Rhinolophus ferrumequinum: one gene and its partner. The protein of the gene in region 1 interacts with the protein of each later gene in a biochemical or structural test. Links are inferred from orthologs where the notes say so. Each region holds a gene or a part of one and is shown in the gene's direction. Other genes may lie near its edges.

Region 1 (7,746 bases):
ATCAATGTCTATTAACTCTCTAAAGTATTCTAGTTTGGATGATACACTATATGAGGGAAGCATAGTATATATTGTCAGTGCATTTTAAAGTGCATTGCTAATAACAGCTAACACTTTTGAGTCTGCAAAGCACTGTGCTAAGCACTTTTTGAGCATTGTCCCATGTAAGTAGTTCTCCGAACAAGCTATGAGGCTGTTAGTATTGTAGTCCCCCAAAAGGTAAGGAAACTCAACTTTGTTTATTATAGATGTTAAAGAACTTGCCCAAGGTCACCAAGCCAAGTTTCTAAGTCAAGCAGTCTTGTTTCAGAGGTCACACAAATAATCACCATGCATTATTTATTTTTTCCACACTTAAAAAAAAAATTGTAAGCCATCTGAAAGAAATTTAATTTTGCTAGGCTACAAAATGTATATGATAGAAAAAAATGTTATCAAGCATATACTAGGGGGAAAAACATCAAAATTTTTTTAAAAAAGTTTTTCACAAATAGAGGCAGACTTCTCTGTGATTCATAAAGTATCATTGAAAATCTCTGAAGGCTGAAACATGCTATAGGAGGGATGATGACATCCCCAAAGTATTATAAAATCCTTAATTTTTGTTCTTGCATGTACTGCCTCTTTTGAGCCCAAGCTCGGTTCCCTGCACACTTGCCACTCTAACCTCTTGCCCTTTCTACCAAGGGGATAAGATGGACGTGAAAATAGGGAAGTCAGTCCCTATGATCTAATTTATCTAATGCTTCTAAACTTTTTTTTGAATCTAACTCTAATCTGGACCAAAGATTAATTTTTCCCCAAATTCTGCGATAAAAACTTCGGTTTTAGGTAACCAATTCTTTACTAGGTGTTGAGGAAGACAGAAAAGAAGAATGATCATCCTAATCTCTTCCTTGTCTCCTGCTTACTGTCTCCATAATGCTTCTGCACAGCTGCTTGACTGTCGTGGGGAAATAACAGGGGGACCTTTTTTAAAGCAGTGGATAGGTGCTCTGCTAAGACACTTTTTCTGATGGATGCTGTGTGCATTCTCTGGAATGCGTTTGGCAAGGTCTTGAAGCTTCCATTCAGATATGTGGCTTTATCTCTAGTAGGCAGTAATTCCTCTCCTGAACCCAGATATTGGGAAGGGAAATCTCAAAGAATTCCCTGTCTTTCACAGACAATTATTTAGAGAATCACAATGTGGAAGATAAAGCTATACTATCAACAAATATTTATTAGCTTACTCTCTAAATTGGTCCTGGAGTTCAGTTAATTATTACAGAATCATGGTTTAGGCAGCCTTGTTTAACGTGGGGTTTCAGTTCTTTTAATCATAATTGAAACTGTTAAGTCCATCTTAAGTTCAACTGTGGGAGGATTTTCAAAGAAAACTAATCTATAAAGCACAGACCAGGAATGCCTTGTAATAAAAAACATGTGGAAGATTTGGCTATATCTGTATGTGCTGTTCATGAGTTGGAACTAAATAGTTGGCAATGAATAACAAAGATGAATTATTAGTCCTGATTATTGACTACCCTGACCATATACCGTGTTCTCCGGAAAAATAAGACCTAACCGAAAAATAAGCCCTAGCGTGATTTTTCAGGATGACATCCCCTGAACATAAGCCCTTGTGCGTCTTTTGGAGCCAAAATTAATATAAGCTCAGTCTTATTTTCGGGGCAACACGGTAGCTGTTATGTCACTTTTCTGTGTGAGCACAGATGAGTATTCCTGAAGATACGTTACAAAGGGATTTTTAAAGAAAAAATAGGTTATATTAACAAGCGCATCCTGTCTTCTATCCTTTTAAGACCAGTGTTTTGGGGATCTTACAGTATGAGTAAGTAGGACTTACATAACAATCAAATGGAATACTTTATTATCTATACTTCTGTTCTCTCCACATTGCCCTCTATTACATTTCCCTCTCCTACATACTCAGCCTCAGCATATGCTGTCTATATTCCTTCCCATCAAAGCTGCTTTAGGGAAACAATCTGATGAGTTAGATATAACTAACTAAAAGGCTTAGAATATTACCTTTCTCAGGATTATGGCTTTGTGATAGAGAAATATGCTAAAAGGAATTAAACTCTAGTGGCAAAATATCAGGTGAATTGGAGAAGGGGTTTTGGGTTATAGGGACTTTTCTAAGCTAAATGGTAATCAGCCTGATCCGTGCCCCAGATCAACTTAAATTTCCAAACAGGCTAGGGTCAGGACAGGTCCTAGCCTAAGGACTGGTCTAGTCCTATTCATTTAGGTTTGGGGTGGGGGCTGTTGGTTTACTAGAATATGATGCCACATTTGAAAGGATCTTGAATCAATCTGAGACGAAATGCATTATCTGTATCCCAAAATCCAGCTGGAGCTGGTATGGGAGATACTGCCACCCTGGGCAGATGGCTTTAGGGCAGTGATCCTTCCAGTTTAGAGCTATACCACTGAGTCTGGTTTGGGTCAGACCCAAACCAGTTGCTGAAAGTGGAATGGGAAATATTTTTTGTGATTAAAAATACAATAGGTTAACTTTAGAATTTATACAATGGCTAAGAGTCATGTTCACATAAAATGGATAACTAGCTTCGTATTACTAGTATACCCTGGTTGCCGTTTCGTTTCCTAGCTTCTAGTGTAATGCTGTCTTACCTCCAGTTCAGCACTGAATTAAGCCTGAACACTTTGGTACTGTGAACCTTCAGCCTCTGCTCTAAGTGAAGGAACTACCTGTGTTAATTTCAGCAGTTCTGGAAGTAGTTAAAATGCTCCCACCCCTAATAGAATGTCTTGAATATCTTTGGAGTTATTTCAAGTCTCAGTAACGTACAACTCTCTTCGGTAAACAATTCTCTGATGGACTTTATGAATTCCTTCTTTTGGATGCAAGCCAAAAATCATCTGTAGGGCATACAGCTCTTTATTCAAACTTGGTAATAAATAATTATCTCTGGAACACAGACGAAGAACTGAAATAGTGACTGCAGGGACACAGAAACTAATTACCATCACTGTACCCAGTTAAATACAGCAGACTGGGGGCGGGGAATGGTTTGTTCCGTATCTGTTACGTTCCTCCTCCGGGTAAAACAAGGCCGTCTTGTCTGTTAACATATTTGAAACAGTAACTGCAAAAACTGTGCAATGTTATGGTTGAGGCGTTTCTGCCATATGTGCTGATAGAAAGCTTAAGTTTCTTTCTGCAATAAACGCAAACCCTGCCAGGCTGAATTATCAGGGCCAGCGCAATTCAACGACTGCACCACCGAAACCACTGGCGGTGGAAGCCTGCGTCGCATTCGGAGTGTATCCAACGTTTCTTCTAACAAAGGCACTATCTCGAGGCAATTTCGCGGGCCGTTTTCCCCCTCCCCTCGCCAGCTTTGTCTCCCCGGCGGGTGAGGCTGAGACTTGGAGGAGCCCCAGCTGCGTTGCTGTGCGAACAAGCTCGGAGCAAGGGCCGGCGTGGGAAGCTCCACGGAGCTGCCGCTGTGGTTTCCTGCAAACTGAGCGTGCCATTAGAGGAAGTTGGAGTGCTGCAGTTGAAAGCGATACCCGCAGTCTTAAAATCGAGCTTGACTTGAACCCTGAGCACCGATAAGTGTCGTACGAAGAAACTCAAGCGACCGATCCAGCGGAGGTCAGCGGGCTCTCCGTCTTCCGGGCCGGGCGCGGAGCAGCCGGGGTCCGCGTCCTAAGCGCCCCCACTTAGGCTGCCGGGGAGCAGCAGACAGGCCTCCCCCTGCCGGGACCAGAGCGGGCCTCACGCGGCGCCTCGCACGCGAAGCCTCGGCCGCCGCCGGCCCCTCCCCCCGACCCCAGCCCCAGCCCCCGGCCGGTCGCCCCCTGCCGCCGCCGACGTCGGCCTGCGCCGCCCCCGCGAGCGGTGACTGGCTCGCGCCGGCCTCCAGCCCAGCTGCCGGCGGTTGGGGTGCAGCCAGCGGGAGGCCGCCCCGCCCCCGCCGCGGAGCCGCGGCGCGCAGCCTCTTCCCCCCGCCTCCTGGCCGCCGGGGCGGTGGCGCCGAAGCCGCGGCGGCCTGTGAGGCAGTAACTCTCCTCCGCCCCAGCCCCCTTCCTCCTCCTTTCTCTCCTCTCCCTGCCTCCCTCCCCTCGCTTCCCCTCCCCTCGCAGTCTCTCGCTCGAGTGAATGTGGCGCGGCGGCGCGGGACGCAGCCTCGGCCCCTGCCGCGGCCCCGCGAGCTCGTGAGGAGACGCAGCCGCCGCCCGCCCCCACCCCCTGCGCTTCCCGGGGGAGCCACCACAGCCGGGGCAGAAGAGGAGGGGAGCGAAGGGCCGGCGGCGGGAAACCGGGAGAGGGCGGAGAAGAGGGTTCGAGGGCAAGTAGGGAAGGCGGAGAGGGACGGCCAGAAGGACGGCCGGCCCGACGGACAGCCCGGGGAGGGGGCCGCCATCGAGCCAGCTCGGCCCCTCGGCTCCGGGTCCCGGCGGCGGCGCGGGCGTAGGGCGCGGCAGGCGCTATCGAGACAATAACCCCGCCGCCCGGCTCTGGGGGCGGCGGCCTAGTGCGGCCAAGGTCCGTCCAGCGTCCCGGCGGCGTCGGTGGCCCCGCCGGCTGGGTACTGTCACCGTCGGGAGTGCGGGGCGCGCGGGTCGCCCCGGGCCAGCGGCTCGCGGCGGACGCCCCCTCCCTGCCCCCTCGGCGCGCGCGGAGCTGGTTTTCCGGGTTCCCCTGGACGGAGCTGGATCCTGCTTCTCGCCAAGGCAGGAAGTGAGTTTCGCACGGTAATTCCGGGCGGTGTCACGAGTGAAAAGTTTTTTTTTTTCGGCGGAGATCCTAGTTGGGGCTGGGAAACTCCTGCAGAACTCGAAGACCAGCCCGCTTCCCAGCCCCCACCGGAGCAGCCTACTCGTCCTGCTGCGGGAGGCCACTCCACATCCGCTCTCACCGTAGAGAAATTCGGCTGGAGCCAAAGTGACTAACGAAGGGAAGGAAATCATGTCTGGCGAAACCTTGAAAAAGCTGCCCTGAGACACTGCCCGACTGAAAGGTAATTATCACGAAAAGTGTCTAGAAGTCACAAAGCTCCTGGGCCAGGAAAGAAAGAATACTTGAATGTTTTTCACTTTCCCCCACGTTGTCCTAATTCTTTTCTAATGTCGAACTGGATAATGTTTCAGGTGCTAAATAGAACTGATTTTTCCCCCCTTCCTACCATCTGGACTCTGGTTATTCTAGAAGAGCTTGTAAGAATGCAGTGGGACGAAAAGTTTTAAGCAATCAGAAGAAAGAGTGCCTTTGTTCAGCGCAAGGTCCAGACGTTTTAGTTTCCCGGAGCATATACAATGTATATTTTTTATTAAGTTGCTGAACCTGGCAACTTTTGTTTTGGAAGGAAGTTAGGTCGCTGCAGCGAGTGATTTGCTGTTGAGATGGCTGCCACATTTGTGTACACTGTTACCAGTTGGGCTTTGGCTTTTAATCGTACAGATATTTTTTTAGTTCAAACCCTTATAAATGTATGTCGTTGGATTTTGTAAACAAAAGAGGTTGCCATTCGTAGTCGTTTTTTCCAGGTAGGTAATATATTTCTTTAGTAACTTGTTTCTTTCAGACATTTAAAACCTTATAATACTTGTTTAATTAATTGAAAGCAAATGACTGCTAGATTTTTCTTGTAACTGAGTGGTGGAAAGAAAAAGGGAGTAAGTGTTAGGGATAAAGAGGGAGTTATAATTAAAAACACACTTGTAAGTTTGATTTGTTAGGACTTCTCTACACTTTAGAACAGAACATAGAGGAAGGGAAGTAAAACGTTTTAAAACGATTTTCATGGGTGTCACATTGTGGTAAATAGATGTGCTTTTTTGTATAGTACAGACAGTCTTTACATTTTTGTGTTGGTCCTAATGTTTTGGCCAGTTCAGCCTAGTAAGTGATAGGTACCTACTGTGGGGGCCGGAATTAGTGAAGCATGGGAAACTTTCCACCAGTCAGAGTTATAAACACTTGTGAACCAATCGGCAGTCTGTATGGATCAAACTAGTTTTGGTCGTAGCAAATACAAAATGTTTCTTTAGTGGTGTCTTTTAAAATTCAATTTTTTCCCCAGTACTTTGTGTTCAAGAGAGGTGACAGATAATACTGTGCTCCTGAATAATTATTAAATGAATGTGGTAGTCTGTTGGTAGGTGTTTCCTAAATATAAATTGTTCGGCTTGTTCATGTTCCATATTACCCCAAGAAAAATTGTCTTCTTTAGTTCAAAGAAGAGAAAGGCAGGTTTGAAAGAGCAAGCTCGAATTATTTCACAACTTGTTCTTTGTTACTTTATTACGTACATTTCAATTCTTGTAACTAATAATATATATAAATATATATTGCTATATATTAGTTGATGTATATTAATATATATAGTAATGCATTGTTTTGATTTTTACCCCCCAGACTTTAGCTTTTGGAGATCTTTTTTTCTTTTAAGTTGCTGGTAAGACTTGTAAACCATCAAGAAATTCCTGTTAAGTCAAAGTAGCTTTATCAGGGAATTTAAGTGCATAACTGATCTACTTTATGATTTTTGGAACGTATCATTAGGCAGTGAAAGGTTATTCTTGGGCATCTGAAAGAGCAGAGCAAAATAAATGGCATTGAACTTCAGTTTCCTTATATGGTTTATACTTGGCTTCAGAGCAACAAAGCCTTAATAGAGCGAGTCTTTTACAGAGAATTATCCTTTTTGAAGATGTTTCTCTGCATTAGTAAATTTTACATATGAAAAGTATTGTAGCACTCAAAAATAACTGCTTAAATCCCATTTTCTAGTTCTTGATTTTTTTTTTTCCTTGAGGGAGCAATAATAGTGTGTTGAGATGCAGACAACACATTTTTTAAAAGCGAGGTGTTCACCTTTGTAGTTGCCTTTAATTCCTTTTTTCCCCTAAACAAGCAAAATTTATTTTGGTTTCCTTAAAATTTTGTTAGTTTAGCACTGGATTAACTTAATGAATATTAGGCTTTATCCATTGCTAAACTATAAGTATTTTCAAAGCCTTGTTTAAAATGTGACAGTGATTTGAAAAAGAGGTTTTAAAAAAAGCGATAATAAATTAAAATATTTTTAAATGATTTCAAATTTTGGATCTTCTTAGTATTGTGTAGGTTTTCTTACATTAAGTTGGCAAGTCTAGAGCATTTCCAACGTTTGCTTATATTGCAAAAAATGCACATTTAATGGCACTGTTTATTAAAGGTACTTAGGAGTTTTCAATAGTGATAAACTTCATCCTTCAACTAATTAATTCAAGTATTATGAAGTCTGTCTGCTGTTTGAGAACAAGGTATTGCAAACTTTGCATGTAGCTTACAGAGATTCAAATATGGAAACCAAATTTTTATTGCATATTTCTTAATGAAGTGTAATTATAGACATTTACACATAACATTGGTAAATCTCTAAAATTCATTTACTTTAAAGATATTGGTACTGAGCTCTTGGTAATAAACACTACTTTTCTTTAATAAACATACTTTACATTTTCAGAAAATTAGGTGCATATTTAGACATTTAAATTATTGCTTATAGATAACATGATTTACAGTTTAAGCTGTTTTGGGCTTAGAAATAGATTATGGCAGTGTTTACAAAGTATTTGGGATAATGCAGAATTTTAGTGGTGTGGATATCAAAGTCATTTTCTTTTTGTAATTGCTATTATCTGGATTTTCTTTAAACATACTTTGATGCTTGCATTTTTACTTTGACTCTTTTCACTTGCCCATCCATTTCTCTCCCTATT
Region 2 (7,525 bases), on another chromosome or scaffold:
GAAGGACAGTTTTCATTGATGTGCATTTGGAAAACTAAATCTGAGGTGACTTATGGTGAGGCCAATTCAGTTTCACTCCTGTGGCTCCCGAGATGCAGTCACAGATGGGGGAGAAAGGGATGCCCTAAGAGCCGGGAAGGCCAGGAATGCTTGTAACTCAGTCTTTTTTAGGGGATGTCACAGCTGCTGATCTGGGTTTGCCCAAGGGAGGGTGAACTACCTCTGTCCCGTATGTAGAAGTGGGAAAAGTGTTCTTCCATGCAGTGTAGTATCTTAGACCCTAGTTCAAACTCCTGAGCGTTGCCATATCTAAGGTTACCATCGCTTTACCTTTTCCTGCTCCATATTGGATCCTCTGCGTATCTTTGCTTATGCTCACACGTGCCCTTCTCATCCCGTAAGCCTTTGCCATGTGGCTTCTTCTGCATTGAGAACCTTTCTTTCCAACCTCGATTAAGTGCAGCTCCCCTCTGCCCCTGGTGTGACACCTTTCAGACTGTTCCCACCTGCTGGGCTGAGAGTGTGCACCCAGGAGAAACAGAAGCTGCCTTACTCCCACTGCACCTGTCACAGCACGTGATCAGTCAGGAAGCAAGCCAGCAGTCAGTGTCTCTCTCCAGGGTTGATGTTTTCTCATTTTAATAAGAAGGGAATATGCTTTTCCGATGTCTTATGACCTGACCAGTCCTGGTATCATAAGATGGGATGGGAAGTGGTGGTGAACAGTCATTGCAAAGTTCACCTACAAGAAAAAAACTAGCTGAGCGACTCATGTTTATAAGGAATATAGGCTGCTGAGAATATCTGTATTCGATTCGTGCATTTGGGACTGGGAGGCATGGAGTCAGGTTCTCCAGGACACATACCTTCAGAACTTTAAAAGTCAGATAGTTGAGAGGCTGGGTAAGCAGGAAAAAAAAAGTGATCATCGTTTAGTTTTCCCCAAACGCATGCACTGAATGTTCTTGGCAAATGGAAGCCGTTTCCATTATTCTTTCATTTTAATACATTTTCAGGAAGGTGTCCTGGGCTTCTTGTGTGAAGAGAGGAGGAGTAAACAGAACGCTGCAACTCACTGGGGACCATGGTCCCCAAAGAGAACAAAAGCATTTTTAATGGACTTAGTTTGTATCTCACAAGGCCTCCTATCTGCTTTGTACAAAGGAAGATAGGTGCTCCTTTTTGTGTAAACAAAGGTTTCAAGATGCGGGCTTTAACATCTGTATCACCACTAAGAGAATGTAAAGCCTGGGAGAAAAGATTTGTTGTAATAGGAGTATTTGGAGGGGGAGCGCTTGAAAAATTTTGACTAGCTGATGACTAGGCACGAAAATAATGTTTTCCTCTCCAAAAGAAATAGAGGTTTGGGATTGAGACAGGTAGATTTTTGTTGGTCACAAGCTAAAGGATCTTTGTACTACTGTTTGTGTGGGTTTCTAGGAATCCTTAAGAGGATTTCACGGAAAGAAATGGACTGTTTTTTGAATGCTTTATAATTGTTTAAAAGGGCAAAGAGTTTTGTGTATGCGTATATGTGTGAGTATGAGAGTGTGTGTGTCTGTGAATGTGTGAGTGTGTATATATGTCTGTGAGTGTGTGTGTGTGCCAGTGTGTATGTGTGAGTGAGAGAGAGAGAGAGAGAGAGAGAGAGAGAGAGAGAGGGGGGGGGGGAGGGGGGAAGGCTGGGGTCCCAGTGTGCCATTCCCAGTTGGACCCTACCTATCTCTCAGGTTCCAGTTACTCTTGGTCCACCCCAGTGCCCTGTGCCCCTGTATTCTCCTCAACAGGGGCTCTAATTCTCACCATTCTTCAGACACAGCTCTTCTTTCCTTGTCAATCTGTGCTTGCTTCTCCCCAGTCAGGTGCTTCTCCATCCTTTGCACCCCAGGAACCTATCCTCACATCTCCATCACAGCACACATTCTCTAGTTTTCATAATCTGTGCCTCTGACACAGCCACTCGCTTGTGAAGACTAGTGGGCATAGGCCACGTGGTGTTATCATCACTAGCATGGGGTTTGTCCACAGTGCAGCGAGTCAGATGTTTAAGGCCCCGTGCGGCTACATAATTAGCTACGTAACTTTTGGGCAAGTTAGTTAACCACTGGAAGCCTCAATTTCCTTCTTTATAAAATAGTGATCTTAATAATACCTGCCACACAGAGTGTTTCGTTAGTCAGATGAAATTAGACAATATGCATGTAAAGAACGGAGCACAGAACTGGGTCCTAAGTGGGCACTCCATGAGCGTTACCTGTCTAGATCACGTTCTCAATAAGTATGTGTTGTATGACCTGAATGTCTTCCTGAGAGTGGTTTTTTCCTTCGCTGCCTTTGACTGCACCCTCCCTGTGCTTTAGTAATTCAGATTCCTGACACCTAAGAAGTACACATATTTGTAAAGTCCCCAGGCATTTTAAACTTTTAAATATTCTCTGGGCTGTGATAGGAACAGACGATAAATGGCACATGGAAGCATAATTCCTAAAGTTTTAACATAATCCCATTAAAATTTCCAAGCTTCCATATAACTGCCATCTTTCACACGTCAGTCAATCTCAGGTTGCATCTCCCTGAAAGCATACCACAGTTTCTCATGATTGATCTCACAATCTGCTTTTGGGAAACTACTCCCAAGATCCCGTGCTCTCAGGCCTGCCCTCTACTATCCCAAGAAACATCATTCTGATGAGACAACTGTAAAGTCAAATTATTTGCTTTTGGTATGAAACTGCACAGTGCCTTCCTCACGCTGTGAAGCTGCACAGAGGGTTTGGGGCTACTGCTCATGATGGTTTTTTCTTTGAGAGAAATCCACCCTCCATACTTGCAAATGACCGGTAGTGGGGAATGTATCCAGGCAAAGAGCCTCTGGAGAACCACGTGGAGGCACCTTTCTCTTACTTCCGCCACCTCCGGGTGGAAGCTAAGAGATCACAGGTAAATTTATTCATGACAAAAGTTCAAGCTGCACTAGCTGGAATAAGTTAGGAAAAGTGAGGTTGCACTTCACTTTTTTTTTCTTTCATGTTTTCCTTTCACTGATCACAATGTGATTATTTTAGTTATTGTTATTATTAATTTTTCTTTTTGTAAATCAAACAGGAACGAAAAGCCAGCAGTGGGAAGGGGAGCCAGCAGTGGTTAGGTGAGTGAGCACAGGGCATATCTATAATTCAACTCCGGAATATTTCTCTTAATAATTAATCAAGCTCCACAAAAGGAGGAGGCCCAATAAGGCCCTCGAACAAAGCTGCCAGCTGAGGACTACCGTGGCAGCGTCAATGCCACCTGACCCGCCCAAGGACGCCTTTTCTCCAGCAGTCCGGGTGTGTGCTGCCACTGCTTTCTTGGCCCATTAGGGGGAGTGAGCAGAGGTGCCCGGAGCCTAGGATGTCACCTGAGCATCAGCTTGTGTGCCTGTACATTTCGCATTTCCCACCACTGTCCTTCCTCTTGGTGTATTTGTGGGCATTGCATATTTACATCCAGGTCCAGGGGCATTTCACATTCCAGCCTGAGAATCCATCCTGGGGTGAGGACTCCGTTGTGGGTACACTCGCCTGACCGCGGGGAGGAGAAGGGGTGTACTTTTTTGTGGTTTCAGTGGAGTGGTGTTAGAGATCTGACCGCTATGATAGAGACCTCCCTTTAGAGACTTCCCAGGAGCCAAACCTCGGGCTGAGTCCCATCTCTTTTTGCAGCAACAGGTTCACGAAGGCCGCCTCCCCTTATTCCAACCCGCCCACCCCCCGCCCCGATCCCACGCTCCCAAGACATGTTTGCAACCAGCTCGGAGCCCTGCGACTTTCTTCCACGGGACTTGCGCCTCGCGTGCACTACCCTTAGACTGGGCCTGATGCCAGTTTCTTTAACCCACCCCTCACCTGGGGGGAACACGTTTCAAGTCCGTCTCCTCTGCGCCCTGGAGGCCTGACCCCCCGAGTTGAGGCCGACAAATTGTGCAAGGGAGGCGGAGATCCAGGGGTCAGGGCGCGCTTGCAGGAGACGGGAGGGCTCCTGGCCTGCGGCCTCGGCAGAGATACACCCAGCCCCCAAGCCCCCAAATCCGTTGTATGTGTGTGTGTATGTGTGTATGTGTGTGTGTGTGTGTGTGTGCGCGCGCGCGCGCGCGCCCGCGCCAGGATAGATGTATAGAAAGCGGGTCAGGGAGAAGAGAAGGCATCCAGAAGCACCCTGTGGTCTAGACGACCTCCCGTCGAGGTCACCCCCCCAAATTCTCTCGGGGATCCGGCTCTACCGTCGGGACCCCATTTCAGCTCCAAAAGGACACCTCTCCCTCTGGGATTAGCGTCTCTCCGCTGAGGGAGATAGCCAGGGGCTCCTGAAATGGTTCCCAGTCGTTCCCCGGAGTTTCGGCGTCGGGGAGCCGGACAAGAAGGGGAGGCGGGCAGTCGTGCAGTCGTGACTGCGCCCGCCTAGCCGCGCGGGAGGCGCCCCAGGCGACCGCCTTGAACGCCACACCCTCGGCCCGGCCCTGGCCCCGCCCCCGGCCGGCGCGTTCCCGGCCTGGGGAGGCGTGTGCTGCTGCTGCAGCCAGCCCGGGAGGGAGAGGGATGGGTGTTGGAGGAGGAATTCGGGCTTAACAAGTGATCGCTGCTGTCTAGGATTTTGTTTCTTTTTCTCGGGAACCTTCGCTTCCTTTCCCAGTCGAGCGCTTTTGTGCTGAACTCCAGAGGAGCCAGGAGTCTTGAGGGTCTTCCCTGGGGCACCCCCGATGCCCACCCCTGCGCTCCAGCAGCGAGCACTCTGTGCCCCCCTGGCCAGGCAACAGAACTTATTCCGTGGATATTTTGGAGCCTCCACCTGCCACACAGGCGTGATTCTTTCTGCTCCCAAGATCATTGTTCCCCTCCTCCAGCTGTTGCAGCTTGAGGGGGGAAAATAAAAACCAACCGGGGGATATTCTTTATTTTTATTTTGCACCCTGCCGGGGAACGGTAAGTATGATGCCTCTCTGATCATTTTTTTCCCTCTCTTCTTTTGGCTGTTGAAAAACAGTGGACATTTGAGGGATAAATAATATCGGGAATGTGACAGAAGGGCATGAATGGAAGGCGGTTAAAAATAAACCAGGAGGTGGGAGAAGGGAGGTGCAGATGCTGCGCGGCGCTCCAGGGGGCCAACAGTTGTTATTTTCCCAACCCCAGGGATGGGGTGCGTGCGCCCTGTTTAATGTAGCCGAGCGGGAACCTAGGTCTAGAGGCGAAGGTGCGATTAAAGATGTCGTTTAGAGGCTGGGTTTAGGTTGAGCATCGTTTGGCCTCATCCCAACTCACCGGCTCCCTTCCTTTGGGGGAACAGCTGGTGAACGGGTTGGAATTGCTGCCTTTCCCCACATTTGGATTTGCGTGCATTTTCTGAGCATTTGAGCAACACATAGGGACTGTATAAATGGCGTGCGCTGAAGTGCATATTTCTTACGGTGTTGGTCTTTCTGATTCTCTCTCTCAGTCTCTTAATCTCTCAGTCTCTCTCTCAGTGTCTCCCCCCTCCAACCCCCCCCCCCCCCATAAGGTTCAGGTACCACCCTAAGACAGTTGCAGGAATTAGCACTGAGAGATGAAAACAGCCTTGTTGTTGGGGGTGGGGGGTGGGGGGTGGAAGGAGGAGGCCTGGGATGCAAAGCTTGTTTGGGGTTTCAGGGACTGGGGAATTGGTCATCTGCACAGTCCTGTTAGTTTTATGGTGTCAAAGAGGAAGGGAAATTTCCCTGCAAAAGTCTCCCTCATGAAGGCTCCTGGGAGTTGGCTTGAATAGAGTCTCCTAACATGAATACCTTGAGAGGGAAGAGAGGTTTTAAACCTGGTTTGCTGGGTGGAATAATTTTTTTCCTTCTTTTTCTGTTTTAATTCTTCTTCTTCTTCTTCTTCTTCTTCTTCTTCTTCTTCTTCTTCTTCTTCTTCTTCTTCTTCTTCTTCTTCTTCTTCCTTTTTTTCTTCTTTCTTGTTCTTCACTTTTCTTTAAGATTAGGGATAGTGAGGTAGCTGGTAGCCAATTAAAAGGGAGGTAATTTGCTTTTTGTAGGGTAGGGGAAGGCGTGAGATAAACCAACACCAACAAAACTAATAAATAAATAAGAAATTATGTGGTGTAGAGCAAAAAGAGGGCAGGTCTAGACTTCTCACAGAGTTGATGGTGAATGAGAAGACCCTCTAATTCATGAATTTCTGGAAGTCAGTTGGAAGAGAGAGGGGTGTACGTAGTGTACAGATTTACAGGTACAAATTTACTGGGGCTTTATTTAAATTGTGTATTATAACTGCTTGGAAGGAGTTGGGGAAGTAAGTGATCAAACTCTCAGGCTATTTGGCCTGTGAAAGAATTTAAAGGATGTTGGCCTGACTCTCCCCTGTGAAAAATAGAGATTTGGAGATCTCCTGAGGGTAAACATTTTAGAGTGTGAGATGATGTTATGAGTCATAAAAAGGAAGAGGGATGTCATTTGAGATAACTTCAGAGGTGTATTTTCTGGGTTTTGTGCCCCAATCAAGCTCACGTCTTTCCCTAGGAGAATGTATATGATTGAGAAATGATGTGTGTTTGCCACTTCCCCTCTTGTCACTTCATAAAACTTGGTGTGTTTCAGCTTTTTGGCTGGCAGGATTCAGCAAGGAGCAGCAGGTGGTCAAGAGCTGAATCCTGTTAATGGCTCTAGAAAGCCATTTTTCTTACGCTCCCCAAGTGCTTCCAGTAATAGAAGCAAATAGATGCCCTGAATTCTGTCTGTCATTATCCTCCCCAATTCTCTGGGTCATTCTTCTGCATTCTTGGAAGTCCTGTTGGATAGAGAAGTCCTGTTGAATGGAAGAAGCAAGAGTAGACAGAAGATTGGGGCAGGAGCTTTTACAGGTCCCAGTGGACAAGATGAATTAGCGGGACCTAGGGAGAGCATGCTAAAGAAGAAGAAAGGCCAGGAATACCAAGAGGCAGTGGGGACAGGGCAGACTGAAAGGAAGCTGTCATCAGGAAGTAGGAGATTGGAATAAAGGTGGGCAGAGAGAGAGGAGGTGGGGAGTTGAGGGATGGGGGCTATGGATTAAATTATAGAGGGTGGAGTATGATAGGCTGAAAACAAAGTCCACACAAACAGGGGCTTAAAACATAAGGAGATAGTTCCTTGTGAAGAGTGTAGGAGGAAGCACTGAAGTGAACACAGAGGAATGGCAAAGAGAGAAGATGATTATTAGAGAAGTGGAAACTGGGATTAGCTCTTAGACTGTGGGTGGTAAGGAGCATTCTGGGCTCTGAGAAACAGAAAACAACAACAGGGATGTGCTTTGGGGAGTTACGAAGTGCCAACTTAATATAGGTCACTGGTGAGTCTCAAAATGTCCCGGATGTCCTCACGTTCCGTCCTTCCCCTACTTCAGACAGTGGTACAAGGAGGTACACATGTGTGGGTGGGTAGATAGACAATAAAAACTTAGGTTACTATCACATTATCAATAACAACCAGTGTTTATTGGTATCCATTGTGTACAAGGTGATGTGCTAGGCTATC

What was found. The genes of interacting proteins can lie anywhere in the genome.
Region 2: the proteins of ERBIN (region 1) and KCNA4 interact in a test that uses a peptide from one of them, tested with the Homo sapiens proteins (3 studies listed by BioGRID and IntAct, with this or other methods). The link is inferred for Rhinolophus ferrumequinum from reciprocal best matches to the Homo sapiens genes ERBIN and KCNA4.

What each region holds. Positions count from the first base shown.
Region 1 is NC_046290.1:42,188,441-42,196,186, forward strand, and holds the start of ERBIN (erbin), read left to right. Parts: upstream 1-4,737; 5' UTR 4,738-5,000; intron 5,001-7,746. UniProt on the Homo sapiens protein: Acts as an adapter for the receptor ERBB2, in epithelia. By binding the unphosphorylated 'Tyr-1248' of receptor ERBB2, it may contribute to stabilize this unphosphorylated state.
Region 2 is NC_046294.1:26,997,033-27,004,557, forward strand, and holds the start of KCNA4 (potassium voltage-gated channel subfamily A member 4), read left to right. Parts: upstream 1-4,521; 5' UTR 4,522-4,961; intron 4,962-7,525. UniProt on the Homo sapiens protein: Voltage-gated potassium channel that mediates transmembrane potassium transport in excitable membranes. Forms tetrameric potassium-selective channels through which potassium ions pass in accordance with their electrochemical gradient.